Notamacropus eugenii: one gene and its partners. The protein of the gene in region 2 interacts with the protein of the main gene of each other region in a pairwise test. Links are inferred from orthologs where the notes say so. Each region holds a gene or a part of one and is shown on either strand. Other genes may lie near its edges.

Evidence for each region.
Region 1: the proteins of CNKSR1 (region 2) and CYTH3 interact in binary tests that used the Homo sapiens proteins (3 or more experiments, as listed by UniProt). The two-hybrid records come from large-scale screens. The link is inferred for Notamacropus eugenii from reciprocal best matches to the Homo sapiens genes CNKSR1 and CYTH3.
Region 3: the proteins of CNKSR1 (region 2) and CYTH4 interact in binary tests that used the Homo sapiens proteins (3 or more experiments, as listed by UniProt). The two-hybrid records come from large-scale screens. The link is inferred for Notamacropus eugenii from reciprocal best matches to the Homo sapiens genes CNKSR1 and CYTH4.

Annotation. Positions count from the first base shown.
Region 1 is NC_092874.1:396,039,967-396,050,431, reverse strand, and holds the start of CYTH3 (cytohesin-3), read left to right. Parts: upstream 1-5,849; 5' UTR 5,850-6,103; coding exon 6,104-6,146; intron 6,147-10,465. UniProt on the Homo sapiens protein: Promotes guanine-nucleotide exchange on ARF1 and ARF6. Promotes the activation of ARF factors through replacement of GDP with GTP. Plays a role in the epithelial polarization.
Region 2 is NC_092876.1:67,126,477-67,137,283, forward strand, and holds the start of CNKSR1 (connector enhancer of kinase suppressor of ras 1), read left to right. Parts: upstream 1-5,808; 5' UTR 5,809-5,899; coding exon 5,900-5,951; intron 5,952-10,807. Other genes in the region: ZNF593 (zinc finger protein 593), read left to right, coding at 212-274, 509-650; putative transmembrane protein ZNF593OS, read right to left, coding at 1,261-1,407, 1,770-1,814. UniProt on the Homo sapiens protein: May function as an adapter protein or regulator of Ras signaling pathways.
Region 3 is NC_092874.1:294,397,020-294,407,472, forward strand, and holds the start of CYTH4 (cytohesin-4), read left to right. Parts: upstream 1-6,249; 5' UTR 6,250-6,396; coding exon 6,397-6,415; intron 6,416-10,453. UniProt on the Homo sapiens protein: Promotes guanine-nucleotide exchange on ARF1 and ARF5. Promotes the activation of ARF factors through replacement of GDP with GTP.

The DNA of each region.
Region 1 (10,465 bases), on a different chromosome or scaffold from region 2:
AATATTCATGAAGAGCTAAAGGCAACATGGAGGTAGGGAAGATTATTTCATCTGAATTGACTCAGGATGTCCTTCCTGCATATCTTTGTTAAATATCTTTCTCCTACAATTAGCTGAATAAAACTTTTACTACCTGTTGAATGGCCTTATTTTCTTCCATTATTGCACGTAAACTACCACAGTATTGACCTGAGTCAGGCCCGGTCCTGAACATATGTTAAGAAAGTAACTAAAATGCTCTTATCTTTTAATGCAGCAATCCTATTTCTAGGCATACACACACACACACACACACACATACACACATACATATATACATGTATACACACATATGTGCGTATAGATGTATACATACATATATGTATATATACATATAGAATGAAAGAGAGAGAGAGAAAGTTTTGATACAATAGACACTAATCAACATACAAACCTTCAGGAAACCAAATTTATTGCAATAGGCAGGGGTCCCAGGCCTGATCCCTTAGTTCAGGTCCTTATTACTTCTCCCTTGTATTATCGCAGCAATCTCATAATTTCTCATTTTGACTGCTTCCAGGCTCTTCCTCTTCCAAATGGATTTTTTAAAATATATATTTGATGTGTTTAATAAGAATGTATATGTAGAACCCATATAAGACTGCATGCCATCTCAGGGAGGAAGAGGGTATGGAGGGGGAGAAAATTTAAAACTTATGGAATTGATTGCTGAAAACTGAAAACAAATACATTAATTAAAAAATGTGTATTTGATCATGTCTATTCTCCCTGTTCTCATTGACCAGTCCTCTGTTACTTTTTTTTATCATTTTCCTTTGCATTATTGTAGTAACCCCCAAATTATATATATATAGATATATATATAATAGATATATCTATATGTAATAGATATATATAAATGGATATATCTATATATAAATAGATACATATATATCTCTATTTCAAAATCCTCAGTCTGTCATTTGAAGTCTTTCATAATCAGTCTTATTTCTTATTATTCCCTTTCATGTACTTTCCCTTCCAGTTTAACTGGACTAAAAGCAATATATTATAATTTTTTTCCATTCAATTTTATTTTATTTTCAGGTCCAGATTCTCTCTCTCCTTCTCCTTCCCATCGAGAAGGCAAGAAATATGGAACCCATTACAAATATGAGTCATGCAAAACATAGTTCCTCATTAGCCATATTCTGGGAAAAAACACAAGAAAAAATGAAAAATATGCTTCAGTCTTCACTCTGAGCTCACAATATATTATAATTTATAATAACTCACACTTGTATAGTGTTTTAAGTATTGCAAAGTGCATTTCTTAGAACAACCCTGGGAAATAGGTAGATTCATAGTATAATCTCCATTTTGATAATAAGGAAGCTAAAACAGAGAGAAGTGACTTGTCCAAGGTCATAAAGCTAGTGAACCACATGGTACTGGATTTTTTTTCATCTTCACACATGTTGAGTATCAATGGTCAAGCAATGTCAAATTGTTTGAAATGAGATAATCATAGGCTTGCTATAAATATAATGATCAAAATTCCACAATTCAAAGATGATTGACTTACAAAGTTTGAGGTAATCCAAGCCTGATGATCGTAGTCCAAGTAGTCTCAGCACCTGGATAGAAAGTTGATATTAGAATAATTTATATTTTCATGGTGTTTAGGCTTAGAGCACTTGACGTAAAATTCCTAGTTCATTTACATTTCTCAGTTAAATGTGCTGCCGAGATAAGCAATTTTCTGAATCGTACAGTAGTGTCGTTATTTTGTACGTTCTAAGATGGTAGTAATTTGCTCTAGGAAGGTCATGCAGTGGTCTCTGTTAGAGTTAGAACTTGAAACCTAAGTCTTCATTCCTTCTTTTCTAACAACTTTTACATCCTATATTGAATATTTGCTGCTATATGCAGGAGTTATGTAGTAAAGGAATCTCTCAGCCCCCAAATAAGTTTCTGAGCACATACAATTACTTTGGGGGAAGAGAAAAGTCTCTTACCTTCTTCCTACTAGATACAGGCTTATATGTATATTATTGGCACCAGGCCAGTCAGTGACAGTTGTAGTTACTGTTATACTATCAGTAGCTAGAGTGATAATTTCCCCCCAAACCTACCCCTCCTTCAAACTTCCCCATTTCTGTTGATAGCACTGTCATATTTTCAGTTACTCAGGTTTGAAACCTTGGAGTCATTCTTGATTCTTCTGTATTCTTCGTCCATCACATCAGTCAATGGTAGTTTTGTTCAATCTTCCTCCACAACATCTCTGACATTTCCTACAACGTTACATCCTCTTCTCAACTCACACACCTACTACATTAATTCAGGCTCTTTAAAATTTCATTCTTACCATTATAATTTTCTTCTGCATTGTTGTAATAACCCCCAAATTTCATATGTATATATATATGTACATATATAATACAAAATCATCAATCTATCATTTGAAGGCTTTCATAATGTGACTCTCACTTAGATTCTCAGTCTTATTTCATATTATTCCCCTTCAGGTACTCCTCCTTCCAGTTTAACTTCTCCTCCCCACCCCTACCCCCAGGCTGATCCATCCAAAGATGTTTCATGTCTTTACCTTTGCACACAAGGTCCTCCATGTCTGGAATGTTTTATTCCCTTCTCATCTCTACCTGGTAAATCCCTAGCTTCCTTTGAAATGTAGCTTACTTACTTACTTCTGTATCCCCCTCAGTTATGTACATGTTCTCTTGAAATTATTTATATTACTTGGTGTATAATTGGTGTTGATTTTTGCACTTGTTGTATCCTCCCAAGTGAATGTAGTCTGCTTGAGGACTTTTTTGTTTGTTGTGGTTGGGTTTGTGTGTGTGTGTGTGTGTGTGTGTGTGTCTCCAATGCCTGACACATAGCAGGTATGTAACAAGTGTTAGTAGAATTGAATTAACAACTCAACTAACTAGGGATAAAGGACACACAAATTCTCAGAGCTGCTGGATGTTGATTCAACCCAAGAAGATCCTAGGCAGCAACCATTCAAAGGATGCAGAATGCTAATTGCTGCTTCAGAAGTGACACAGCAACAGTTGGCATTACAGAAACCTAAAACTACTGTTTCTTGTCTTCCTTACTGTCTTGTGGTTATTATGGCCCTGGCTGCATCAGCTCCAAGATCTGTTAAAGCAGAGTGATCTGCTTAGCTTTAGGGGCCCCCAAATTCTAGATGGATAATTCTTAAAAGTTATTCTTATTCTTATTAGTAAGAGCTGAAATGTAGCACTTCACATACTTGACTGATATTTTTCCACCATCATTTGATCCTCACAACAACCTTGTAAAGCAGGTAGTGTCAATATGGTTGTGCGGTCCTTTTTCAGTGCTATCTGACTCTGTGACTCCATTTGGGGTTTTCTTGGCAGATATACTGGAGTGGTTTGCCATTTCCTTCTCCATTTCATTTTACCACTGAGGAAGCTGAGGCAAACAGAATCAAGTGACCTGCTCATGGTCATGCAGCTAGTAAGTGTCTGAAGCCAGTTTTACACTCAGAAACCGGGTCTTCTTGACTTCAGGACTGCCACTCTATTCATTGAGCCATTTAACTGCCCTAATATTGTATTATTATGCACATTTTGGCAGCCGAGACTCATGGTTTCATTAGTTTAGGGACACCTTCTTCAATCCTGACCCCTCAAAAAGCACCCTAAAAATAAAAACATAACAAACGACGACAACGTAAGTTGGCCAATCATCTGTAACTTACAGTTTGAGAGACTGAAGGCAAAAGAGCTTTTCTTTTAATTGCTTTTCCCAAAGTCACAGAGGTTGAATGAGTGACAGACCTTAAACTCAGGTGGTCCGGATTGTCTACATGTTGCCTTTCATTCCTACTTTTCAGATGAGAAAACAGGTCTCACTAAGTGAATTGACTTAAGATCATAGCTTAACACACTCCTTTCCAGGTATTTTGAATCTAGGTCCAGTACTCTTTCCACCATCACACTCTCTTGAAAACACTTTTATATGGATTAATCTTGGAAAATTTTGTTAAATGTGAATACAATTCCAATAAAAGGATCCTATGACATAAATGATTCATTGTTGTCTAATTGCTAAACCTAAGGGTTTTAGTTTATAGAACATTATTTTAGATATAATTTTTAAAATCTTAGTTCACGTAACCAACTTTATGGAAAATGAATAGGAAGGACATACTTTTACAATGAACATTGCAGAAAGAACAAACATGTATGGCAGAAAAGATGAAGCATTGGGATAAATCTATGCTTCAGACCACAGCTAATATCCTACATGAAATTGAATTGAGGCCTTAGACTAATCTCTGCCATAAATCCGTTGCACAGCTGGTAGTGTTTTTTAAGAGGAGAAGTTGTAAAGTTACAACAGATCAGAATGATGTTGACTATTTTCTCTGGGGTATGCTCTCCCTGTGTGCTCCCAGTTCAATTTGCTCATAGCCTAGATGCTAATACTCTATTAGACTAGGCTAATTTAATTTTTTTGATCAGTGGGCAAAGGGGAAATCAATTTCCTTTTTATCTAAAAGAAAGCAGAAAAGCTAAGAATTATTTTAAAGTCAGATTAGGAATGATGTAGGTCCAGCCAATAACCAGCTGGGCGTCTTTGAGGCACCTTTCTGGGGCTGTGCTTTTTTCCTTTGAGATGTTAGAGACCCTTCTCACTCTATGACAAAGACAAGTGGTTGAGATAAAAGTACTGGTTCTGAATTCTTGGGCCAGGCCAGATAGGCAGACCCTGTGCTCTATGAACTGCAGTACAAATGGGGAGGGGGGTGGAATGGCCTCCACAATTTACACATATTATTATCCCTCCACAGACCACCACCTCTCCCAGGAGCTAGGGAACATAATGACATTCAGAAAGGTTGTCTTATTTGTTTTTCTTTTTAAGGTTGTTCAAATGAAATTGTCCAAGGGGAAGGAAACATGGTTGCATTTTAGAGTTTTTAGTGCGGCCAGAGCCCTTGGAGACGAGCTGGTCTGCGCTCCCTGACTTCACCAGGTTGAGGTGGAAGGCCAAGAGGGATTTAAATATCCCACTCAAGGTCACAGAACTCGTGCCAGCCCCTGGCACCAGCCCCCAAGGGTATCACTCCTCGCAGTGCCCGTTCCAGCACGTCTCCGGCCTTCGGCAGGACACAATTTATTCACGTTGATTAACACACCCACCGAACGCTCCTTAGGAAGCTTTCCATTCGCCCCGATCTAAAGTCACTTCGGAAAGGAGAGGTTCGAGGGGTGCCACCAACGGGCAGGCGGTGCGGAGGAGAGGGCACGCTCGGGGTACACGCCGGCCGTTCGGGGGCCTCTGGCCAAAGGGCTAAATCAGCCGTTCTGGAGGCGCGGGGGCCGTCCGGGCGAATGCCCGCCAGAGTGCCCCGCAGACCTGTCTGTCCGCCTCCACCTTCTCCCCGCGGTCCCGGCGGGCAGGCCGGGAGCGGGGCGCGGCTCGGTCCCGCCGGGCCGGGGTAGGCTGTGTCGCTCCCGTCGCGATGGGGCTGGGACGGAGGCGCGGCTCTGGTCACGGACAGGCCGGGAAAGAAAGAGGCCTCGACGCCTTCGGCGCAGGGCTGAGACCCGAGGCGCCGCTCCTGTCACAGCGGGGCCGACAAGGAAGGCGATGCTCTCGTCGCCACGGCTCCGCGGCCGGCCTGTTCCGTGGGGGTTGTCAGAAAATGTAGGGTTGGGGCTGGGGCCCGGCCCCACGCCCCAGGGCCCCTCCCGGGATCCTCGCCAGCACCAGGCCCGGCCCCGCGGCCGCCTCCTGTCACCCGTCCCAGGGCGGGCCGGGCCGGCCGCGGTCACGTGACGATGGCGGCGGCGAGGGGCGGAGGGAGACGGGGCGGAGGGAGACGGGGCGGGGCCGGCGGCGGCCGCGGGGAGAGTCGTCGTCGCCGGCTGCGCTCGGAGGAGCCTAGAGTCGGGGACCCCGGAGCCTGGAGCCAGGAGCCGGGAGCCTCGAGCTAGGCGCTGCCCGGAGCCGGCGGCTCGCTGCCTGGAGCTGCTCCCAGCCTGGCCTTCAGCCCCGCGTCTTCCCGCGACGCGCCCTCCGGGGGATCGGGCTCCCTGGAAGCTGTTGTAGCCCCAAGATGGATGAAGAAGGAGGAGGCGGCGGCGGCGGCGGAGGCAGCGGTGAGTGCCCGGGCGCTGCCCCGAGCCCGGCGGCGGAGCGTCGGCCGCGGGGGACCCCCGGAGAGGGGACCGAGGCTAGGGACCGAGGGGACGAGGGACGGGGACCAAGAGGCGAGCACTGAGGGCACCGGGGGCGAGACCCGAGGGACGGGGACCGAGCCCAGGTGGGAAGGCATTGGGGGACCGCAGGGACGGGGAGCTGGACCCTGGGGGGACGGAGCCGGAGGGCTCGGGAGGTGGGGGGCGAGGAGCAGAAGAGGGGTTCCGGAGGCTGCGGGGACTGTAGGGCGCAGGAGAGACCTGGGAAGTCTCGGGAAGGAGGGCAGGGGGCTGGAGCAGAGGGGCTGGGGAGGTGAGACGGGGCGGGGGCCGCTGGAGAAGGGGAAGGTAGACAGGGAAGGAGGGGGGGCCGGAACAGAGCAACCCCGCCAGGCTGGAGGGGCTGGGACACAAGGGGGAGCGGGGGGTCTGCGCCCCGAGGGGATGGGGACGGGGAGCCGGGGTGCTCGGGGACCTCCGGGACGCCTCGGAGGGACTCGAGCAACCGCCCGACGAGGACCGGGACCGATCCGGGCTGTGAGAGGGGGGCCAGGGCGGGCTGGGCTCGGGGGGATTGTGGCTAACATTGGTTTGGGACGGAGACTGCAGAGGGAAAATCGCATTTGTTCATCTGTCCGGGGAGAAGCTCAGCCTTAATCCCTCCTGTTTCCCACGAAAAATTTCTTATTTCTGTTTGTTAGAGGATCCTTTTCCTTTCCTTTCCCAAGACTAGGAAGGCAGGGTGGGGCCTGTCAAGCTCCGAGGGACATAATATAAGTTGGAGGCAGTACCGTAGAAGTTTTTATATACTCTTATTTTTTTTTTTTTACTCCAAGGGAAGATGAAATGAAGGAAAAATAGGAAAACACTGGCTTTGTTGTCCAGAGCTTTGAGTCATTAAAACTGCTTAAGCTAACAACTGCGAGAGGAGATTTTATTGACAGGGGTCAACAGTATTGCTTATTTGTTGAGAACTTGACGTGTATAAAAAAGGGAGTGTTTCATAGAAAAGAGAAAATAAATCATTTCTGCTAAGGAGTCTGTTATGAGCTGCAGCAGACAGGAGAGGTAGAAAGCAAGGCAAGGGAACAGTAAGTTTTGGCTTCTGTCTTATATTAGGAAAGTAGGTCTGTTGTACTTAGTGGGCATGGTCTGAGTGATTTCTGTGTCTTGTCTTATTGGGAGAATGCCTTAAATTCTCCTTTTTAATATTTGCTGGAAGCTGTATGTTTGTCGTAAATAAAATTCAAAACATTTTGTCTTATCTCTTAAATAATAGTGATGAAGTATAGTCATAGTGACATTTATCATTTAATTAAATTGGTATTGTCTAAATTGTATGAAGTTGATTATCTGAACAACTTTGATTTTAAAGAATTGTTGTACATGTTATATCCTTTATTACAGAAGATAGCTTCGAAAGGAAAGAAAAGCAGATTTGCAATTTAGGATTCTTCAAAGTATGACTCTTCATTTTTTCATATTTTCAACGAAATTGTCTTCCGCTTCCCACCCCCTACCTCCATACTGCATTGTCAGCATCCCTGGAGCTTAGGAAGCTTGTTTTCTGATACTGATCATGGCTGCTTAGCTGTTGTCAGTATAAATAATCAGCAGTGGTGCTTTAGAATGAGATGGTTAATCAAGGTGCTTTCAGGAATTTACAATATAGAGGAAATGTGTTTGCTGAAGGAAGTAATGTTGTCATTATGCTGAGAAATAGTTGACATAAGCTATAGGAGTTCAAGTACATGCAATTAAAGCCAGGGACAACTTTGTGACACCAAGTGGGTGCATTGTTTATAAAAGTTCTCTAGTGAGGAAAAAATCTAGTTGAAAATCCTTCAATAGCCAAGCTGCCTATAGGTTTTTTTTGGGGGGGGGATCATTCTTGGGGATAATCATGCAGCTTGTAACTGTCAGAAGCAGGAAGTATACCCAGGTTTTCCTGACTCCAAGTCGGGTCCTTTATCTACCATTCTATATTGCCTCTCAGCTGTTGAATGCTAAAACAAAATGTGATGTTAAATGTGTACTTTGAAGCGTTGAAGGCATTTGGAATGTCTTAAAGATGTTGTTGGATACAATTCAATAACCTTTTTTTTTTTTTTTATGGACAATGTAGTGTAGTGGGGAAAACAATGAACTTGGGAGTTTGGAGATGGAGATGCAGATTTTTGGCTCTGTCAGCTCCTATGTGACTGGGCAGATCAGTCCGTCAAAGCTTCAGTTTCCTCAACTGTAAAATGAGGGGTTTAAACTATCTGATATCTGTAGTCCCTTCCTTCTCTAACATTCTGTGATTCTGATTTGTTTCATTAAAAGTTTATTTTCCATGCTGTGCTGTGGAAGGCCCTTATGTCTTGTCTTTGATTCAGTGAAACTGGCCTCCTTGTTCTTCAAACATGACACTTCATCTCCCAACTCCAGGTATTTTCACTTACTGTCTGTCTCCCCATGCCTGGAATGCTCTCCCTCTTCATCTGCACTTACTAACTTCTGGTTTCCTTTGAATCCCAGCTAAAATCTTACCTTCTCCAGGAAGCCTTTCCATTAATGCTAATGTTTTTTCTCTAGTGCTTATTTCTGATTTATCCTGTATATATAGCTTGTTTGTACATAGCTGTTTGCATTTTGTCTCTTGAGTTAAACTCCGAGGTCTTGGATAGCAAAGAGTGCCTTTGCCTTTCTTGTATCTTCGGTACTTAGCACAGGGTTTGGAACATAGCAGCTGCTTGATAGATCTTTATTGACTGACGGGATCATAATTATATGGTGGCCACACTATAAATTAAATATGCTTACATTTAACTTCTGCACATGCCCATTTTTAAAAGTTAGTTCGCCTTCAAGTCGGTTCTTGACACAGTTATTAATGTATATCCAGGAGTGGATTTTTCTAATGATTTTCTTTTAAAAAAATCATGTTTTCTTTAAGTGGCATGTCATCATCAGAGATGATGATTAATTAAAATAGCCCACCTTGAATTTTTCCCAAGGAAGGTCAGTTTTATTCCTGTTTAACGGATGAGTTAATTTAGCTGGTCATAGTCATAGTCGTGGCAAACTAAGGAAGAGAACTTAAAAAATATTCATTGATAATGATGCTTAGGCTAAAGGTCCTTGAAAATTGAACAGACTTGATACTTTTGTAATTCAGCAAACCTTGAAGTTTGTACATTTACTGTCTTTTTCTCCTAAAAGATAATCAGAGAGATGAGGTTGATGTATATAGTAATTGAAAGAAGAATTAAGCAATTAGAAGAGGTAATGACTAGGGCACCAAAATTGTAAAGACAAATCACTCTATATATGTGGTATGTAACTTTTGAAATTTTCAATTCCATAAAAGCTTTGTTGATTTTCAGATCCATATTGTTTCACAGTTGTTTTTCAGAAATTATCCTTAAACTATAGTTCTGTATGACCAAATTGCCAACCATGTTCTGTTAATTGAAAAAGTGTGACAGAAAAATAACATATGGCTAAGATATAAATGTGTGTATGTATAGTTCATTTTTCAATCTTCAGAGGAAGTTGTGAGCAAAAATGAATTATATAATTCTTTACTTCTTTTAAGTTCTTAAAAAATGGACTCTATATTTGTTTTTAGTTCTTAGTGTTTGCATAGAACAGCTTTTCTAGACTATATAATTTGAATCTTAACCTTTGGTTGAATTCTTTTGTTATTGTATTTGTTTTTGCGGAGTTGATCCAGGAAAAGTATTAAGTGATTTGTTTCTTTTCTTTTTTCTTTTTTTTCCAATTTCTTTGAAATTAGTTGAGCACTTAAAATAGCTTTCATTTTGAATTGTGGTTACAGAATTTTGATATTAACTTTAATATTTAATTGATGATGAATAATTAAATAGGAGGCAATTTTGTGTTTTTGGCAGCTAATATACAGAAGGTAAACCGGCTTAATGGCGTAGCATGGATAAGGTCAGAAATAATTTATGATAGACTAGAGATAAAGTATGTTAATTTTACTTATAATTTTCCTAATATAATTTTTTTTGGGTAACTGGGTTTATTTAGAAAAAAGCTATTGTCAAAGCATAACTTTTAAGGATCATGATTCTTTATTTGTAATCTAGAAATTATGAAGCTTTTGAGGGAAAGTAAAAGGAAAATGAGAATAAATACTAAGAACTTGAAATATTAAAAGATATTAAATATTTTGAGATGATGGGAAAATTGTGAATAATCTAAATAAATACAAAGGCATGTATGTTCCTTAAGGTTTATAAAGTACTTTTATCTAAGTAATTTCATCTGAC
Region 2 (10,807 bases):
AGGGTTTTGGGGTTTGGTGTGGGTGGTTATTGAGGGAGGACCTGGAGCTTGGGGGATGGGAAGGGGTCAAACTGGGTGCTCCCTCAGGAAGGAGAAGCTGGAAGGTGAAAGGTCAGGTGTTGAGGCCAGGCTTTGTCTGGATGCTCTTCTCTGGAGGGTGGAGGGGAGGAAAAGGAGCCTCTACCCACATCTTACCTCTGTCCCCCTCCAGGAGATACTTCATTGATACTGCCAGCCTGAAGAATCATTTAAAGTCCAAAGATCACAAAAAAAGGTTCGAGGCTGGGCTGGCTCCCTCCAGCTGTTAAGGCCCATCTTACTCCCCTTCTCCTGGCCCTTCATTTCCTCTCCCCTTCCCCCTTCCCCTCTTTGCCCTCCCCCACAGCATTTCTTCTTTCTCTCTAGCCTCTAATCTCTTCCCTTGATCCCCTCTCTGATCTCCCCCTTCCTCATTTCTTCCCAATCTTGCCCTGACCCCTCTTTAACCCTGGCCCCTTTTTTCCTACAGGCTCAAGCAGCTGACAGTAGAACCCTACAGTCAGGAAGAAGCAGAGAGGGCAGCAGGCATGGGCTCTTATGTGCCCCCCAAGTTGTTGGCAGTGCCCACAGAGGTATCTACCGAGATATCGGATATGGAGGTGGCCAGCTGATGCTACCCAAGACCGAGGAAGCCACTGTGGGATGACCCTGCTAGGCTGGTCTGGCTGGACTGTACTGTTCCCCCAACACTCAGAGCAGAGTCTTCTTACTTTTCCCCAATAAAGGAGCTGAGCTGCTACATGTCTTCCATGTTTCTGATTTCCCCTGAATGCCAGGCTGGAGCTGATGCTTGTTCCCCATCTACATTCCCCTGGGAGCTCCTGTATCCCTACTGCTCAAGGTGTGCTTGCCCATGGGCTATCCCTGTGGTACTCTGCCACATGCTGAACCTTGGGATCAAGGGAATAAGAACCCTTCCCTCCCATTACTTTGCTTTGGACGAATGTCACCAGATGGAGCCCCAGTCATGGCATGTCTTCTGTGTCTGCACTTTGCAGTTTTCCAGGTTTATTCCATCCGGGGCTCCCACTTCTCCAGCCTAGGTAGGCATGGATGCTACGTGTACCTCATCCTCTTCCCCTTGACCTCCCAGCCTGTGGGGGCCATCATCCAATGGGGTGGTGGGAGGGGGGATGGTAGAAAGAAACAGGAAGAGTTCTTTCTCTGGATATTGGGTGAGGTGGATGCTGTCCCCCAGATTTTCAGGGGCTCCCTGTCCCATCATGGGGTCTTCGGGGACTTTCCTTGACCCGCCAGCTGCCGGACACTGTAGAAGGAGAGGCCTAGACCAACCACAGCCAGCATTGTGGCCAGGGCACCCATCAGTTGGTTGCGGGGCTCTGCCTCCAGCTCCCCAGTCACTTGCATCTGGGTAACAGGGTAAAAAGGGAGCAGCGTTGGGAGAGGGGAGGCAGCCAGGGAGTCCCTCGAGATCCCAGGGTGTTTCCTCTGACCATATGGATGCTGACAGGGAGGTTGAGAGGGTAGGGGGCTGGTGGGAGGTATCAGTAACCCCACCCCTTCTTGCTCAAACTCAGGAAGGGCTAGAGGGTGGCCTCCCCCCCAGGGACATTCCATCCCGATGCTCTCTCGCATCAGTGCTGCAGGGCTAGCATACGGGGCCCAGCTGCTCAGGCGGCATGCAACGTGCCTGACTGGCTCCTACTGTGGCGGATTGGGGGTAGAGGAGAAGGGAGTCTGGTCAGTTATGGGGTGGGGAGTGGGGTTACCTCTAGCATCCGAAAATATCCTGGGGTCAGTCGTCCAAAGCGCATGTTGGCCTAGGGCTGGGGGTGGCCGTCTGGTAAGGGCAGGAGGGGAATGAAAACCTGGTTGGCATTTCTAATGCCACTAAATAGAAATTGGGTCAGGGGGAGGGGGCAGGAATGCTTAGGGCTACATTCTTGCTATGTCCCCACCTCTTGCTCACATAGCACCCCTCCCCCCAACACGCACACGTACACACTCTCCTCTACTTTCTGCTCCTTGTTACTGGGTGCTTAGCTTCGTATCTTCCAGCCCCCAAACCTTCCTCCGCACCCCTATCCCCATGCCAGGAAAGCTCCTTTCATCTCCCCTAACCCAAAGGCATGGATGCCCAGAGAAGATGCTCACCTTCGGTTGCCTACCCACGACTCACAGGCAGCTGGGACAGCAGTGGGTCCTTTAAATCAGGTTCCCTCCCCTTACTGGGCCAGCCTGGGCGGCAGCTGTCAAGACAAATCAACATCAGGCTGGAATCAGGCCTTTGTGCCCACCCCATTTCCTGCCATGGAGGCGGGCACCTGAATACAAGGAGGAAGGAGGCCTCACACCAGCAGGGTATGTGTCATCTAGGGTAGGGGTGGGAGAAGTCGCTAATCCTGCCTGGACTGGTGTCCTGGACATTGTTTGGGTAGAGCAGTAGGACGTCCAAGCTCTCAAGACGCAGCTAGCATTGGTGCAGTGGAAGGAAGCGCAAGATTTGGAGTCAGAGGGCCCAGGTTCAAATTCCACTTTTGATACTATCTGTGTATGGCATAGACCCTCTCTGCCACCTCTGCTCCATGAAAAGGCTATGTCTCATCAGTGCCTTCACTTCCTCTTCTCCCATTCTTCTAAACCTGCACTCTGGCTTCTGACCTCACCATCATTCAACTAAAGCTGCTTGCTTCAAAGTGACCAGTAATCTTGCTGCATCAAATGGCCTTTTCTCACTCCCTTGTGCATCTTACCCTCTCCCCTGCTGCCTTTGATACTGGCGATCGCTTTCTTCTGGGCACTGTCTCCTCAAGGGTTTCGTGATACTGCTCTCTCCTGGTTCTGTGTCCAATGGCTCCTCAGTCTCCTTTGCTGGTTCCTCATTCTCATCATTCCCTCTAACTGTGGCTCTGTCCCGAGTCCTCTTTTCACTCCGTATTCTGACTTGGTGATCTCCTTAGTTCCCACGAATCACTATCTGTATAGAGCCAATTCCCAGATTTCCACACAGCTCTTGTCTTTGATGAGCCAACACCTTCTTGAGTATCTCACACTGGACGTCCCATATGCAGCTCAATCTCAACATCTCCAAAATGATTCTTTGTCTTTCCGCAAAAACCTCCCATTTTACATTTCCCTATCGGTACTGTAGGGACCACCATCATGTTCCCAGTCAGGAATCTGTGTCATTCTTTGTCCGTACCCTACAAGTATATCCCTTGAATACATCCCTTCCCCCCAGTCATATGACCATAACCATTGACTGAGTCCAGGCCCTCAGCACCTCTTGCCTGGACTCCTGCAACAGTCTTCAGATTGACTCCCAATCCATTCTCTCATCTCCTAACATTTTTCTAAGGCAAAGGTCTGACCATATTAGAACCCTACCCCACCAGTGAACTTCAGTGGCTCTCTGTTACTTCCAGGATCAAATATAAAGCCCCGTAACTTGGTCCATTCCTACCTTTCCAGATTTCTTACACCTTACTCTTCCCCCTCATACCCCCTCCCCCCACTATGAAGCAGGGGCTTAGTCATATCTCTTGAACTCTACTCCATCTCCCAACCCTTGGCCTTTGCATTGGCTGTGCCCCCCCCCCCAAACCTGGTATGTTCTGCCCCCTCACCTCTGCCTCTTAGTTTCTCTGGCTTTCATCAAGACTCAGCCCAAATCTCGCCTTCTCTCAGAGCCCTTTCCTGGTTCTCCTAACTGCTAATGCTGTTGTATACCCTTTCAGATTATGTCCCATCTGTTCTGTATATCTCTCTTATGTTGTCTCCCTCCTTAGAAGGTAAGTTACTTGAAAACTAGCACTGCAAGGTTAGTTTATTTTTTTATTTTTATTTTTTGCCTTTCTTTGCAATTCCAGCATTTGGTACAATTCCTGACACATAGCAAATGCCTGTTGGCCGACTTCTGGATGTTTAATTCAACCTCATTTTACAGAAGAGATAGCCCTGGAGAAGGGCATTTACTTGCTCATGGCCACTCAGGTCTGTTGACTCCAAATCATGATCTTCCTTCTATCACAGCCCCTCTCCCTTAATAAGTGTTAAACTAAATTCCTTTCTAACTAGCTTGGTCATTTTAGAGCAGCCCTAGCTTTGGAGAGCAGAGGAAACTCCCTTTTCAATCTAGGGGGAGATTATATAGTCTCATTTCTGTTGTGCTTTTAGTGCTAGAAAGCTGCTTCAAACACTCATCCGGTGCTTTCTCAGCTACAGAAACATACCCATTCTGTGAAGGAGGAAACTGGGGCTCCCAAAGGTGAGGCCCCTCACTTGCCAGGGGGCAGAGGTAGGACTAGATATGGCCCATGTCTTCTCACTGCTCACCTGACATTCTTTCAACAATTGGTTTGACTGATTGATCAACAATCCAAAAGCCTTTTGTTTTTGGACTAAGTGCCAGGGGAGGGAACAGTAGGGGCTCTTGAAAAACTTGGCTCTTTTAAGACTCAGCTCAAGTGCCCACTTCCTGAAAAGACAGTTTCCACTGCCCCCTGTTCCACTGTATATGAAATTCAGATGCCTGCAAGGGCTCTCAGAGACCCACTCCTCATTTATAGATGAAGTCCAGACAGTACACATGGGCTGTCAGAATCCAGTGCAATTTGAACCCAGGAGCTCAGGGCTCATTCCACTGTACCAATAACTGGTGTTTACTTCTGTGAGGTCATGTTTGTTGTACATCACCCTACTCAGGGAATTTTAGCCTTTTTGTGAGTCATGGATCTCTTTGTTATGCTGGAGAACCAGAACGTGTTAAAAAGCATAAACTCAGTTTCCCAGGATTACACAGGAAACCAGTTATTCTGAAATACACTTAATTTTTTTTTTTTTTAAATTTAAAGGAACTCCAGGTTATGAACCTCTGCGTTGGTAGAAAGTAAGGGGCTGTTTTCATTTTTGTCACAGTTTCTGCGGTTTAGGGACCATCTTTGTTTGCAGTAGACCTGTGATTTCCTTGGTGAGGGGAGCTTCCTCTTCTTTGCATTTTACAGGTCTTAGCCAGTTGCTTAGTGACCCTGGGTGTTGTGACTTCACAGTGTCACCCAGCCTGTGTGTCAGAGGTGACACTTGAATATAGGTTTTCCTGATTCCAAAGCCAGTCCTTCTCTGACCTGCCACATAGCAGGCATTCAGGGGATGCTTGTGGCTTGATTAATTGAGCTCCTGACCCCGACTGACCTTAGGAGGCTGGGGCTGGCCGGTTTTGGGGAGGGAGAGCCTGGAATCCCTCTCGCAGCCCTGTGGCACACCCACTGGGCCCTGGTTCCGGATTTGGTCTGGTCGGGTCTCCGTGTGGTGTGGCGTCTTTGGGAGTTAGGTGGGCGCCCCGTGGGCAGCCCGAGGTGGAGGTCAGCGCCTGCCTGCCACAGGCACCCCTCTAAGCCCCAGGGCCGAACCTTCCTCTTTGCGGACCCTCAATTTCCTCCCTCCTGGGGTTGGTGTGAGATCATGCGACGCTAGTAAGGGGTTCGGTAACCTGAAAGGGTGATCCTGGTGGGTCAGGACCCTATTGTGCCCCCCCAACTGCCCAGCAGCCCCCCCCCCCACTAAGGGAAGCGGGACACGTGTGCAGCAGGAGGGGTCCGGAGTCCACCCGCTCGGGAAGGCGCGGACCGGCTGCTGCGCCCCGACAGTCTCACCCAGCAGCGTCCGCCCCCCGAGGCTAGAGTTGGGAGTGGGGTGGGGCTCAGGAGGGGCGGGGCTCCCCGGGCTGACGGGCAGAGCGGCCGGGCCAATAGGTGCGCCGGGATGTTCACCTGGCCCGGCCACGTGAGCGCAGGTATGTGGCCGACTCCGCCCCCGGCTCGGCCCCGCCCGCCCCAAAGCCCAGGGAGGACTTCGGGTTTCGGGGGCGGAAATTTCCGGGCGGGTCGGTCTGGGATTCGCGATGGAGCCGGTGTCATCCTGGGGTCCTGGGTCGGTGGTAGCCTGGCTGAGAGGTGGGTAAGGATGGGGTGCCCTGGGGGCTCTACTTCGGCCGGTATCTTTGTGGGGGGAGGGAGGATCAGGGAGTGGGGGCGGGGTAGGGGAGGCTCTTGGTCTACACTAGCCTGAGCAGGGAAGGATTATTTCCACTGACCCTGGGGGTGCGTGCCTTGTCTACACTGCCCAAAAGTCCCGGAGGTGGGAAGCGGTGAAGCAGTGAGTCCGGGGACCCAGCTGGAGCTCCAACCGTCCGGGGTCCCTCCGGGGTGTGAATGACGTAAGGAGAAGCTCATCCTCAGCCCGGCTCGGAGGCAGGGGAATGGACGCATTGACTTCTCGGGGTCCTCCCAGTTTCCGAACTGTAGGCCCATCCCATTCCACACCCCTTCCCTTCTTAAAGAGGGAGCAAGACATTCTCCTAAGATGATCACCCATTTCGAGGGCGAACCCTGTGCAGATGGGCAGTGTAGGTATTTTTGTGCCCTTTTTTTCACAGATGAGGAAACCGAGGCTCTGAGAGGTTGGCACCACCCCAACTTCGGTCTCTGCCTCATTTCCTCCAAAACTTAGCTCCATGGCCCCCCTGAGAGGCCTGTCCTGATCCCCCCACACTTGGTAATAGCCCTGCCTCTCCTCTGGACCTGTTTATTTACCTGTGTTCTTGCGGTCCATCCCAGGGGAATGTAAACTCCCGGTAGGCAAAGACTTTTAGCAACTCGTAGGAGCTTAATCCGTGCTGTTGACATTCTGATAGGTTAAGTGACACCCTCAGGGCCATGTAGCAGGTGAATTCCCAGAATTCAGGCAGCCCCCATACTCTCCTTACTGCCCACCTCAGAGGGTTTACAGCCTCAGGGACTGAGGGCTCAGAGGAAGGAAGCTGAGCTATAGTCACAGCCTGTATAATATACAGATATAATCCTATCTCCTTTATCTTCAAAAGGCCGCTGACATCTGGAGGAGACTATCATTAGACCCATTTCTCAGCTGGAGAGACTGAGAAAGGAGGAAGTGACTAGCTCAGAGCCTGTGGGAGAAGAAGCAGGCAATTTGCCCACATCAGCTTTGACTGACACCACTCAGGCTGGAGTGGGCTGGACCTGGACTCCAAGTTCAAATCCGACCTTGGATACTAGCTGTGTGCCCCTTAGCAAGTCTGCCTCAGTTTCTCCAACTGTAAAATGGCAATAAATAATAGCACCTACTTTCCAGTGTTATTGGGAGGATAAAAATGAGATGTTTGGAAAGTGCCTTGGAGACTTTAATGCCCTATAAAAACCCTACCAGCCATTAGTGGCTGCTATTATTTAGGGTTAGACAGAAAGCTCCTAGAGCAGGGTAACCTTTTTTCATCAGTGTGGTGAAGCCAGACTGCCCCTTCTCAGAGTCTTGGTTTTAAATTCATAGGATTACAAAGGAAACAAATTATAATTGAAATAGAATTATCAAAAAATGAAAAGTTCATTGACCCCGGATTAAGAATCCCAGGACTGGTCTGTAGGGGAGATCCTGTAGGGGAGTCCCCAGTCTGAAAAGGAAGGTATACCAAAGAACTCTCCCAATTGTAGAGAGTTCTAGAAACCAGTACTGGGAAAAAGGGGAAGGTAGGTGAGAGCAGAAACCAGTCCGGGTGAATCAAGAAGGGCTTCCTGGAGGAGGAGAGCCAGGAACAAGTTTTGGGAAGGGCCACAGAAACAGCATTTATGCAGGCTTAGTGGTCATAAATTTGGAGCCAGAAAGGAAATTCCAGATTGTCTAGGCCAACCCTGTCATTTTATAAAGGAGGAAATTGTGGAGGGAAAAACTAACTTCCCTAACGTCACACAGGGACTCAAGCTACTGCTCTTTCAGTTCATGTGTTTCAACTAGCAAAGACTCGAGCACCATCTTGGAGAGGCTGAAGGGGGTGGGAGGGGAAGTGAACCCTCAGGAGACAAGTCAGGTAGATGGAGAAGCAGGTAGCAATAGGGACTTAACTGAGAAGATTAATCTAAGAGAAACATAGAATTTTATTTTATTTTCAGTGTTAGAAAAGAATTTAGAAACTGTGAGAAGAGCACTACCCCAAAAGACAGAGGGCCAGAATTTAAGCCCCCACTAGCGATGGAAGCAAGCTATATTTAAAGGCAGTGAGCTGATGGTTCAGTGGATAGAGATCTACAGCTGGAGTCAGGAAAACATGAGTTCTAATCCAACTTCAGGTACCTTCCTAGCTTAGTGACCCAGGCAAGTCATTTTTTCCTCAGTTTCCTCAACTGTAAAATGGGGATAGTACCTGCCTTGTAGGGTTGCTTGGCGTGGGGTAGGTGCTATATAAATTCTTCCTTCCATTCACTATCTATGAAGTTAATCACTTAACCTTCCTGGGCCTCAGTTTCCACATCTGCAAAATGAGAAAGTTGGACTAGATGACCCACCAGTTCATATGAACTATCTAATCCAGAGATGATTAACTTGGGGTCTGTGAATTTGTGTGTATGTGTGTTTTTAGATATTTTAATAACTAGATTTTACCACAGTTGGTTTCCTTTATATGCCTATGTATTTTATTTTATGTTTTAAAAAACTCATTGTTCTGAGAAGGGGTTCATAGGCTTCACCAGTCTACCCAAGGGGTCCATGGCCCCCTAACCCCCCAAAAAGGTTAAAAATCTCTATCTAGTTCAACCTTCATGTTTACAGAGAAGGAAATTGAGCCCCAGAGAGGGGAAGCAAGTTATATAATGTCACTCAGCAAGTTAGGAGAAAATCTGGAGCTCATAGTTCAGGGAGAGCCATTTATAGTAGATTTCAGAGTGTGTTTGTACATGTATTTATGTGTTTGTGTGTGTGTGTATTATATATATACATATATAGATGGAGAGATAGATGTAGATATGTATGTGTGTCGTTATGTGGGAGTGTGTGTGTGTGTGTGTGTGTGTGTATGTATGAGTGAGTAGGGAGGTTCAGCTCACTATGTGAAGAACCCAGGAGCCCTGATCCCCCAGCCCCATTAAGGGAGAGATGTGGAGAGTAATTCTGTGTTATCCCTCCCCTGGGACTCTGCAGAAAGACAGCATGGGGACTGAAGCGGGGAGCTGCTAACTGGACCCCACAACCCTTTGAGGAGGGATTTTTTATGGCATAATTTGCCTCAGATTCCTTAAAGAGTGAGGCTCATCTCTGTTATCATTCCCTTCCAAGTCTCTGGGATTCCTCCAGCAGTCCTGGCCTAAGCTACAGCCTAAAAGAAAATCTCTTCATCTAGTGTTGTGTTTAAATGTTTAACAACTGGCTGTCCAAAAAATCAAGTGCTCAGAACATGCCTTAAAGTTAAATTTTAATAATAATATTATATAACATTTGAATAATATGTTTATATTATGTAACATTTTAATAATGTATGTATTAACATGTTCTTTACTGTCTAGATGATAAAAAATAATAAAATAGAATAATTGGATAATATATAATACTAAAGTTTAAAATAAATAATAATTAAAAAAATAAACCCTGATTTGTAGCTTTTGCTGAAGTCTAAATGCTCACACTGAAAATTTAACAGCCAGCTCTGTCTCTTGGACACCTTTAGAAGGGGAGGTCAGAGAGGACTAACAGACTGACATTTTGGTAAACTTTTGACTGCTGTGAGCTTTGTATCTTAGTGTTCTTTCTAAGTGACCCTTTAATAAATATTTACAAAGCCCTTACTGTGCGCCAGGCACTGTGCTAAGTGATGGAGACCCAGAGATTACAATGGAATACTCTTGCCCCTCTGAGAGGAAACAAGTGTTATGAGTCGTGTCTGACCCTTTGAGGTTTTCCTGACAAAGATACTGAAGGGGTTTGTCATTTCTTTCTCCAGCTTGTTTTACAGATGAGGAAACTGAGGCAAACAAGGGTAAGGGACTTGCCCAGGGTCACACAGCTAGTCAGTGTCTGAGGGCGGATTTGAACTCAGACAGGTGAGTCTCCTTGACTCCAGGCCCAGAGCTCTGTCCACAGTGTCACTTAACTGCCATAATCACAATAGCCGTCATCATCATCATCACCAGTAGGTACTTACAAAATACAAGATAAATTGGGAGGTGGTGGGGCGGGGATAAAGAGGAGGCCCCTGTAATGGGGACAGGGCAGCAATCAGGAAATATCTCACATTGAAAGGAGTATTTGAGCTTGACTTTGAAGGAAATTAGGGATTCTGAGAGGTTACCATATAGAGGGAGAACATTTTAGACAGGAGATGGAGGAACTTCAAGCAGGACTGCCTGAAGGTGAACAGGAGGGCCCTTAGAACCCAGAATGTCAGAGCTGGGAGGGCCCTTAGAACCCAGGATGTCAGAGCTGGAAGGAGCCTTAGAACCCAGGATGTCAGAGCTGGGAGGGCCCTTAGAACCCAGAATGTCAGAGCTGGGAGGAGCCTTAGAACCCAGGATGTCAGAGCTGGGAGGGCCCTTAGAACCCAGGATGTCAGAGCTGGGAGGGCCCTTAGAACCCAGAATGTCAGAGCTAGGAGGAGCCTTAGAACCCAGAATGTCAGAGCTGGGAAGGTCCTTAGAACCCAGGATGTCAGAGCTGGGAGGGTCCTTAGAACCCAGAATGTCAGAGCTGGGAGGAGCCTTAGAACCCAGAATGTCAGAGCTGGGAAGGTCCTTAGAACCCAGAATGTCAGAGCTGGGAGGAGCGTTAGAACCCAGGATGTCAGAGCTGGGAGGGCCCTTAGAACCCAGAATGTCAGAGCTGGGAGGAGCCTTAGAACCCAGGATGTCAGAGCTGGGAGGGTCCTTAGAGCCCAGGATGTCAGAGCTGGGAGGGTCATTAGAACCCAGGATGTCAGAGCTGGGAGGGATGTTAGAGCTTATCTAGTCTAAGTTTCTCGTTTTGGGAA
Region 3 (10,453 bases), on a different chromosome or scaffold from region 2:
TTTCCAGTCTTTTTATACATCACTACCCTCCATGCCCTTTACAAGGTTATCTTCTATTGCAATGCCTTTGCACTGACTGTCCCTCATACCTGGAGTGCCCTCCTTCCTCACTTCTACCTTTTAATCCTTGACTTCCCTTAAGACTCAAGTGAAGCACTACCTTCTGCAAAAGATCTGTCTTGGTCCTTCCAGCTGCTCATACTGCCTTCTCTAAGGTGACCTTCCATCTACTCTGTATCTAATTATATATCTATGTAAGTATATCTCTTTTCTTCTTTGTGAGACCATTAACTCCTTGAGGACAAGAATAATTTTTCCTTTATATTCCCATTGTTCAGCATGGTATTTGACACCTAGTGAGTGATTATAAAATGCCTGTTGATTGATGAAGTGAGAATGTAGACAAAACACCAACCTCCTCAAACCCAACATGCAAAGGATATCCTCTCAGAAAGATGGAGTGTCTATAACTAAGACAGTCCTATTGTCTTCTACCTGGGTTAGACTCCATCTTGAGGAGGGGTTTGTAACCTTTTATTTGGCAAGGACCCCTTTAACAGCCAGTCTGGTGAAGCCTGTAAACCCCTTCTCTGAGTCATGTTTTTCAAAGCAAAAAATAAAGTACACAGGACTACAAAGTCTGACCTCACACACTTCCTAGTTCGGTGATTTGGGGCAAGTCATTTAACCTCTGTTTGCCTCAGTTTCTTCAACTGTAAAATGGTATTTATAACAGTACCTACTTCTTAGGGTTGTTGTGAGAATCGAGCGAGATAATAATTGTAAAGCACTTAGCACAGTGCCTGGTATGTAGTAATATAAGAATTCCTTTCTCCTTTCCTACAAACAAAAACAAGTCTATTGAAATAGTTATATTTTCTTAAGTTTACACACTCTACATTAAGAAGTCCTCATTTGGAGTATTGTGATTGTTTTTGGGAACCAGCTTTCAAAAAGGGCATTGATAAGCTAGACAGCCCAGGGAGGGTGATCAGTGTGGTGCAGAGCTTCAAGCCCATATGAGAATCAGTGGAAGGGAAGTGTTTGGCCTGAAGGAAAGAAATAAGGAAGACTTGACAGATGATTTTATATATTTGAAGGACTGTTGTTCTCTTTGGAATCACTCTAGGTCGAGGTAAGTCTGGAAACTGAGAGCTTGATAGAAGAGATCAAAAAGTTTAGGATCTGCCTAGCCTGGAACAGGGAAAATTTCTTTTAGTTTCATTTCTAATGACCTCACATTCTTATTTCTGAATTTGCATATTCTCTTTTTTTCCCTTGCAAATAAACCCTAGAAATGTGAACTTGTGGGCTGGCAGGATATGGTAGCTGGTGCAAGATTAGAAAGAGGGAAGTAGCGCTTTCTGTTGGGGTCATCTCCCCCTACTGGATTGCAAATGTATATTCTCTCATTAGAGAATGAACTGGTTTAGGTAAACTCTATATAAACCTCAGTGGAGTAGCGTTCTCGTACACATAAATACTTGTATTATGTTGTAGTGGCTAGAACCACATGCCAAGATAAGGTGGCCACAGCCTAGGCAGGTCATCCTTTAGTACCTATATCTGGCACAGATATCGTAAATGGACCAAGACCTTGACCCTGATTTGTGGTCTGGGGCTCAATTTTTTATTGAGTTAGTATGAATGTTGACTATGGAAGGCATTTTGGTTTCACTCTTGGATCTTAGTCATTTCCCAGGCTCTATCCGATGATAAACCAATACTGTACCAGTTACTTTTGAAAAGGCAAATAGCATCTATCTATTATCAGCCTTAACTGTTCTGCAAAGTGGTATCTGGACAGGAAATATTTTTGTATATTCTTTTACTTATTTATCATGCAGGCTTTAGTTGGTTCCCTTTCTCCTTTCAACAAGGAAGTGTTCATCTTCCTAAAACTGCCTTAGCATGGTGGACCCTGTGTTTTGTTAATATTGTGTGTGGTTTTGTTCAGATACCTCCTAAATTCATTGTCATCTACTTTTATATTCCAAAGACATAATTTAAGAAAGATGTTTCAAAGATGTTCCTTGCTCTGCACTGGCTCTTCTCATTGAACTTCGACTTGAGGATGCTGACCTCTTCTTGATATAAATAGCCACTACTTTTTCCTTGAAAATGGTGTGGTCAATGTGTCTTGCCTAAAGAAGATCCAGTTATTTGTGTTTCCTTCATATAGTGATTCCATTTGGCCTCCTGCTTTTTCTTTGTACTGGACCAGTAAGATGATTGGTGTAAGGAACTCCCAGTGAGCACCCCCCTCTCCCAATTGTAGTGAGGGCCTATAATACCTATAGACCAACAGCTTTAGAGTCAGAAGGGATCATAAAAGTTGACTAGTCTGCATTCCGCTTATTTTACAGATAAGGAAACATAGCTTCGAAGAGGTTAGAGATTTGTCCAGAGTCATATAGCCCACACAAGTCTCCGAAGTGGGATTCAAGTCAAGGTCTTCCTTGTTGTAAATAAACCCAGAACATTATCTATTATGCTGTGGTTTTTATGTGGAGATAGGGGCTCTCCCTCTTCCTCCTTCATACACACCTACCTGGTCCTCAGGCACGTCATAAAAAGCCCTTTCCTTTATCTAGCCACTAAGTTGTGATCTAAAGCCTATTTTCTACCACCCTAGGGAATGGAGAGGCCTCTGCTAGGAATACAAAAAAAGACCCAAATAATCTGTTTTTCCCCTCTGCAAAATGGTCATGATATGGTGTATAAATGGTTACAATAAGGACTGTGACCACTGGTTAGAGCTGATGGATTTGATGGGAAAGCTTTTTACATCCCTTGGTGGGGGAGGAAGGTGCCAAGGATCTCATTGTTGCAAGCAAATGGGGTCACCCTATGAATGAGCTAAGAGATAGCTTGTCTCCTCTGCCCTTCATTCTCAAGGAAAGACAAGGGTAGAGCTCAGCTGCAGGTTGATATTTATACAGAAATCCTGCTTCTAAGAAGAGAAATAGAAAAGAGGATGAGGGAGAGGGCTAGAGGAGAAGGAAAAATACAATTTCAGATAGATGATAGATGTACATACATACATTATATATGTGTGTATATACACACATTCAGAAACTCACAGTGCCTCAGATTATGTTCGTTAGTTACTGAAGAATGAAGAAAAATTTTTTTCCTATATTTGAACTTCCAAGTTAAATGGAAGTTTATTGTACTTGATGATAAAATGTCAGAGCTGGCAAGACTTGGCCTTGTCAATACAACGAAATGACAATTCTACCAAAGTTAGTTTTCAGATGTGATGTTATACCAATCAAATTATCAGAGGAATCTTTTATAGAACTCAATAAAATAAAAACAAAATTCATCTGGGGAAATAAAAAAAATCTAACACACCAAGGGAAGTAATGAAAAAGAGTTATAATGAAGGAGAAATAGCATTTCCAGACTTCAAAATTTATTATAAAGCAGCAATCATCAAAACCTCTTGGTACTGGTGAAAAATTAGAGAAATAAATCAATGGAAAAGACTAGACAAGGGAGAATCAGAAATAATGAGACTCAATAACCCAGTGTTTGATAAACCCCCAAACATAAATTACTTAGGAAAAAATTCCCCATTTGATAAGTACAGCTAGGGAAAATGAAAAGCAGCCTGGCAAAAATCAGTCTTAGACCAACGTCTTACACCATATTCCACAATAAATTCAAACCAGATACATGACTTGAATATAAAAGGTATTTACATTAAAAAAATTAGAAGAGAAACATATTTTGTATCGTTTACATCAATGGGCAGATGTATTCCTAACCAAAAAAGATGTTCAGTCAATGAAAAAAGATAAAATTGATCATTCTGATTACATAAAACCAAAAAGGTTCTGCACAAACAAAATTAATGTATCTATTCTAGATTAAGAAGTGAAGTGGTCAATTTGGGCAAGTTCTTTGATAAGGGTCTGGTAACCAAGATATATAGCTCTCAGAAATATATAAAAATAATAGCCAGTCCCCAGTAGATAAGTGATCAAAAGACATTAACAACTGGTTCTCAGAAGACAAATTTCCAGCTACTAGCAGCCGTATGAAAACCTACTATCACTAATAAGAAAAAGGTAAATCGAAACAACCCTAAAGTTACACCTATCACCCAGAAAATTGGTAAAGAAGATCAAAGATGGAAATAGTCAATGTTGGGGGGATTATGGGAATATAAACTCATTGTTGTTGGACCATTTTGGAAAACATTTTGAAATTATGCATTACTTATTAAAATATCCACGCACTTTAACTCCAAGATTCCACTACAAAGCACATCCCCCAAGGAGCTCATTGATAAAAAGCAAGTTCACATATACACCAAAATATTTATAGCAGCATTTTTTTGTGGTAGCAAAAGGCTAGAAACAAAGTACATGTCCACTGATTGGGAATGGCTAAACAAAATGTGGCAAGATAGTGTTTTTCCCCAGGTGTATTTGGGGGAGGATATGCTTTATAGCTACTGTTTTTCACTATGTCATCTTAGTAAATTGCCTTTGAAAAGAACTAATTGTGTGTGCTAGGTAACTGTTAATAGGAGCATCTGTGGAGTCATGTGATCACAGGATTATAGATTTAGAGCTGAAAGGAACTTCCCTTAGAGGCCATCAAGTACAACCTCCTAATTTTACAGATGAGGAAACTAAGACCCAGATAAGTTAAGTTTTGTGGGGTTTTTTTGGTTTTTTGAGGGGGAAGCATTCATGGTTAAGTGACTTGCCTAGGATCACAACAGCTTGTAAGTGTCTGAGGTCTGATTTGAACTCAACTCCTCCTGCCTCTAGGGCTGGTGCTCTCCGCTGCTCCACCTAGCTGCCTCCTCCCCTAGAAAGGTTAAGTCTTGAGGTATAGTGGTAGGAGTACAGACAGACCATCTGAATTACCTCTAGAACCTGAAATAGCAGCTGTTCTCTGAAAAACCAGTCTTTTGAATTCAAGGATGAGTTGAGGTTCACTTCAAAAAAAGAGCTTTGCACCGTAAAGTGCTTTCTTCACAGCAAACTATGGGGTAGGGGTATAAGTATTAGTATCCCTATTTGGCAAATGGAGAAATTGAGGCACAGGGGGGAAGTGACTTGCTCATGGTGACACAGTGAGAGAGAGGTAAGGCCAGAACTTAAGCACAGGTCTCCTTCCCTTATGCCTAGAAAGAGAAGATGAGGTGAATCCTTATCCTTTCAAAGACCACTGACTCACAGAGATCATAACCCTAGAATCACCTCTCATTGGTCCAGTATCCTGGTCTTTGGGCAGCCCTCCCGGGCAAAAATTTTTCTATCCTATCTTTAGATAAAAAATGGAAATCTTTATTGACCTGGTAGGAGAAGAGATTGGAAGCCAAGACATCCAAGAATCAATTAAAGGATTATCAAATGGATAGCCAGAATGTGGGCTTGGGGAAGGGAAGAGACAAGATTATTTTGATAGCTACAGGACTAGGAGTCCCTTCTCTCTAATTACACATTGTCCTCCCCTACTCCAAACCTCCCATCAATGGAACTTACACATCATGTGCAATATAAGCACTGCTTCCCCTGCTCCTACCTCCATCCTCCCATTATACTGGTTCCATTTTTCTTTGTGTTTCTTCCCAACCAACCTTCAATACTATTTTCTCCTCCAGTCTGTAGTTCCTTGGTTCCCTGTCCTCCTGTTCACCTCCTCACCCCTATCTTCACTTTTCTACCTTCCCCAATTGTCTTTCCAATATTCTCTTACTTTCTGTCCTTAAGAAATGTCCCAGAAATTGTCAGAACTCAGAGAACCTTATATTATAGCAAACAATGAAATGATAAAACATTATAACTGGTAGGGAATGTGTGCCATAGAATGTTAGAGTTTAGAAAATCAGAGCTGGGAAGAGCCTTAGAGAGTGGAATGTAGAAACTGGGTGGGGCCTCAGAACAGGGTAGATCCATGAGTATAGCATGCAGAATGTCTGAGCTGAAAGTGGCCTTAGAGAATTTCTTAAACTCTTGGAATTCTTTGCTTTCCCCCTTCACAGGCAGATCAACCACTGCTAGGTCACTTGGCCAGCATCAGTTTTCTCCTCCTGGGTGGGTCTCACTTCCTTCTTGGCTTCTTTCTCTCTATGGTGTACTGGTCAGAAATGGAAGGCCCCTGAGACTCTTGGGGGGCAGTTTTAGGAAGTATTAGAGTTAGAAACTCCACACAGCACACCCAAGTCTGAGGACTTCCTCTGTGGCTATGGTGAAGGGGAGGAGCCTGGAGCCCCAAGAAGACTAACATGTTCCACCCCAGATGACACATCTTCTGTGTCAGAGAGACATAGAGGCTACCATCACGGGGGACAGGGACAGCCAGGTCAAGCAGAGGCACAGGAGAAGGCAGAAGCAGGCAGGAGGGGATCTGCCCTCCTTCTGAGGGCTCAGCATGACTTTGTGTCACCCAGGTAAGTCTCCTGGGGCAGGGCAAATTCAGAAAAGTGGGTATTAGAGAAACTGAGGAGAAGGAAAACAGTGAAGAATAGAGCTGTGCTCTGGGCAAATCACTCAATTTCCTCATCACTAAAATAATTAAATCTCATGATCCTATAAAAGATCCTATAAAAGACAGAAGAATGTCCTACTCCAACCCAGAGCTGGGTAGCCAGGAGGAGCATTTCACTGTGAGAAATGGTCCATCCAACTTTTCTCTCCTCTACCTATGGGCACTTTATAGCCAGCTTAGCCCCAGAGGAAGAATCAGGAGCAATGAGGAGACAGACAGACTGCAATCTGATGTAAGAAAAAACTTCCTAAAACTCAGAGCTGGGCCAAAGGGAAATTTAGTGAGCTCCACATCACTGGGGATCTTCAAGGAGAGACAGAAGTACCACTTATGAGGGATATCACAGACGGGATTCCTGGGAAAGTTCATATTGAACCAGATCTCTCCAAAGAGATGCCTTCTACCACTGAGCTTCTGTGATTAGGAGTCATCACTGTGAGGGCAGGAAAGGAGGAAAGGGACCATGAATTCATTCTTTCATGTAGTCTTTAAATAGTTATTTAGGTCTTTATGTGTGCAAGATACTTGTCACCATTTGTTTTGAGCATAGTAGATAGCATAGAATTGAGAATTAGGAGAAGCCTTAGAACAGGGAACATCAGCTGGGAGGGACCTTAAAACCTTTTTCCTTCTTGAAGATATCCCAGAATTTCTTTGTCCTATGGATACAGGTGGTAGGGAGTTGGAAGACAGCAGGGAGTCTGGAAATCATCTTTTCCCTTTCAGGATGCAAGTTATGAATTGTGTTTGTGTGATTCAGTAACTACCTGGGCTCCCATCCCTAAGATGCTCTGATCTTAAAAAAAACAACATAATACTTTGGCAGGGCTTAAGGCCCAGGCCCCACCCTAAAGCAATGAGGTGGAACAAATGATATTGCTTCATTAAAAGAGAGTACAAATCCCTGTGCTCCTTTCCTCCTGGTAGGATGAACCTTACACTCCACTGGGGATGAAGAGAGGAAGTCTGGTTCAGTGTAAAGGGCATTGGATAAGGAATTAGAAAAGCTAAACCTGTCACTTACTCCCTTCTCAGTCCTGGATTTCGCTTGTACCTTGGGCCTCATTTTATAGATTAATTTGCATCCATAAAATGAACACATTGGCCTAGACCACTAGTATCTTCTTTCCCCAAAATGATCTTGTGTTTATTTTATATATGTATTTCTATGTTAATATATTGCTCCCCTATTTGAATGTAAGCTGCTTGACTATTTCCTTTTTGTCTTAGTATCCCCAGAAACTAATTCAGTGCCTGGTTCATAGTAAGCAATTTATAGGTGCTTGTTGATTGATCAATTATTTGATGGCTTCTGAAGTCTCTTTCATCTCTAGGTCCATGAGCCTTTGACCTGGGTTTGACTTACAGCTTGGCTATTTGTGCAACCTTAGACCAGTCCTTCTGCCTCTGAGCCTCAGTTTCCCTCATGAGCCTCAAGAGAGATTAGATCAGATTGTTCCTAGGGGCCCTCTTTAAATCTTATGACAGTAGTTGACCCATCTCAAAGGCATGTCTTATATAAACAAGTAGCTCAGCTTGGAGATGGGAGTAGGTTGTCCCTAAATCTCACTAATCTCACTAATACATAGGAAGTCTAGTCTGGAGGCTCTCTCAGGGCCACCTCATGGACAACTCTCTATAACCCAGGGTCAGTTCAGGACCCAGAACTTAAAAGTGGGCCACTGACCTATGTCATACAGTCCCTTAACCCATCTTCTTCCTGATAAAAAATTTCATTATGGTATCTAAAGGTGGAATGTCTGGTGGAAATGAGTCTCCATAGGTTGGTCTTGGCACACTTAAAATCCAGCTGGAGGCCTTTGATAGCTAGGTAAGACCTGCTAGAAGTGGCAGTCCACTAAGACAGTCTCTGAGGGTCCAGGATCCATCCACATCACAGACACACTGAAGGGAAAATTTCAGGGAAGAAATCTAATTCCTACAGTGGAAGAGCTCCCATTTCCTTCCCCCCACCCCAGGATTTCAGGATTTCAAGGGTGTTTTCATGGCAATAGCTTCCTGATGAAGGGGAAATAGGCATTCTTGCTTCCATGAGGAAACTGAGGTTCGAGGAGGGCCAGTGACCTGTGCAGAGGTAGACAACTAGTATGCAGTAGAATTAAAATTCAAACCCCTATCTTCTGACTCCAAATCCCACTTTCACTTTTACAAATCCCACTTCCACCTATTCCTAGATACTCAGCCAATGAGCAAGTTGTTCTGGGACTCTGTTTCCTCATCTGTCAAACATAAAGGTTAGACTATATTATCTCTTAAGTCTCTTTTCTTCTAAATCTACGATCCTGTAATAATCGGTAAAGTAAAAGCCTAAGGATATCTTCAAGACCCTCTTCATTCCCCTTAGGTTTAAAAAGTATGCACTGATTTCTTCATTTTGTATCAAGGAAACTGAGATCTAGAGAGGTTATTTGATTCAAGGTCATTTGATTCAAGGTCACACAGCTAGCGAGCCCCAGACAAGGCATTCATACCTAGGTCTCTGGATTCCAAATCCATCATTGTTTTCATTCTCCTCAGCTGACTGCCTTCTTATCATCTCTCAAAAATTTCTGGGGCTCAGCCTCCCTTCCCCCTACTAACAGGAAGGTAAGGGGATCCGCTGGTGAGATAGACAACCCTACCACAGAGAATTGTTTAGAAGTGACCTAAAAGGAGCCTGGCGCTGGGCGGTAAGCGAAGCTAGCTCCACCAAGCAGCCCAGACCTGGCGAGTAGAGGAAGCCGCTGGTTGGTGTGAGCGAGTGGTGTACACCCACAAACCAGGCAGGTTTGCTCAGTGAGCAGCTGCCTCTGCTTGCTGAGAGACTGCCTCATTTTCCAGTCCCCCGCCCCTCCAGGGTCCTGCTCCTCTGGAAACATCTGCCCCCTCTCGGGGGCATCACCCCGCCCATGGGGTTATGAGCGTCTCTGTCCGGGAAAGGAGAAGTGACTCCAGCTGTCCTGAAAGCTGGTCTTGCACACTAAATGATTTCTAAAAATATTGATGGGAAAGAGGAAGGAAAAAAACGGAAGCAGTTTCAAGGACTGGACGCCTGGAGCGCCCGGATCGCTAGGGTGGTGCTGACACCGAAGATGACAATGACAGCTGGGGAGACTGAATGAATGATAACTATGCAAATGAGCTAAGCACTATATCCACCACCCCCATTTTTCAGATGAGGAAAGTGAGGCTCAGAGAGGCGAAATAACTTGGCCACCATTGCTCAGACGATAAGTATCAGAAGCTGGATTTGAAAACTAACTCTCACCCAGCACTTTATCATGTTCAAGTCAACAAGACTTTCTTTCAGCTCCTACTATGTGATGGGCACTGTGCCAAGAACAAGGGATAGCCCAAGGAACTAGTAGTCTAGAATTGCCACTTACCTGGCAAAACTCAAAGGACCCTCTGATATTTAGGAGCTGGGTGTTTCTCTGAGCCTCAGATTCTAATCTGTAAAGTAGGGTTAATAATCCATGACCTCCCAAGGCTGTCAGGGGGAAAGTATTTGGCAAAGCACTATCCAAACTCAAGTGATCCTGATAATGCCCTCTCTGCCTCTCTTCTCCTTTCTCAGCACTAAGGGAAGCCCAGAGTTTATTTTGAGTTTTGTTTTGGGGTTTTTTGAGTGTGGATTACTTGCATTGAATAACGATAGCTAGCATCTATAGAGACCTGTAAGGTGTACAAAGAACCTTCTAGGCATTATCTCCTCACTTTGAACCACATGAAGCATGTCGAGCAAGAATTATTTCCCCCATTTTATAGAGAAGAAAGCTGAGGTTAAGGAGCCTGTCCAGGGCTACATCTTTATGAAATGTCATAGGCAGGATTAACACCCACATCCTGTCCTACACCAAGCTCAGTGCTCTATCCTGCATGTTAAGCTGCTTCACAGAGGGACAAGATAAAGCTGCAAATGCATCCAAATTTGTACAGC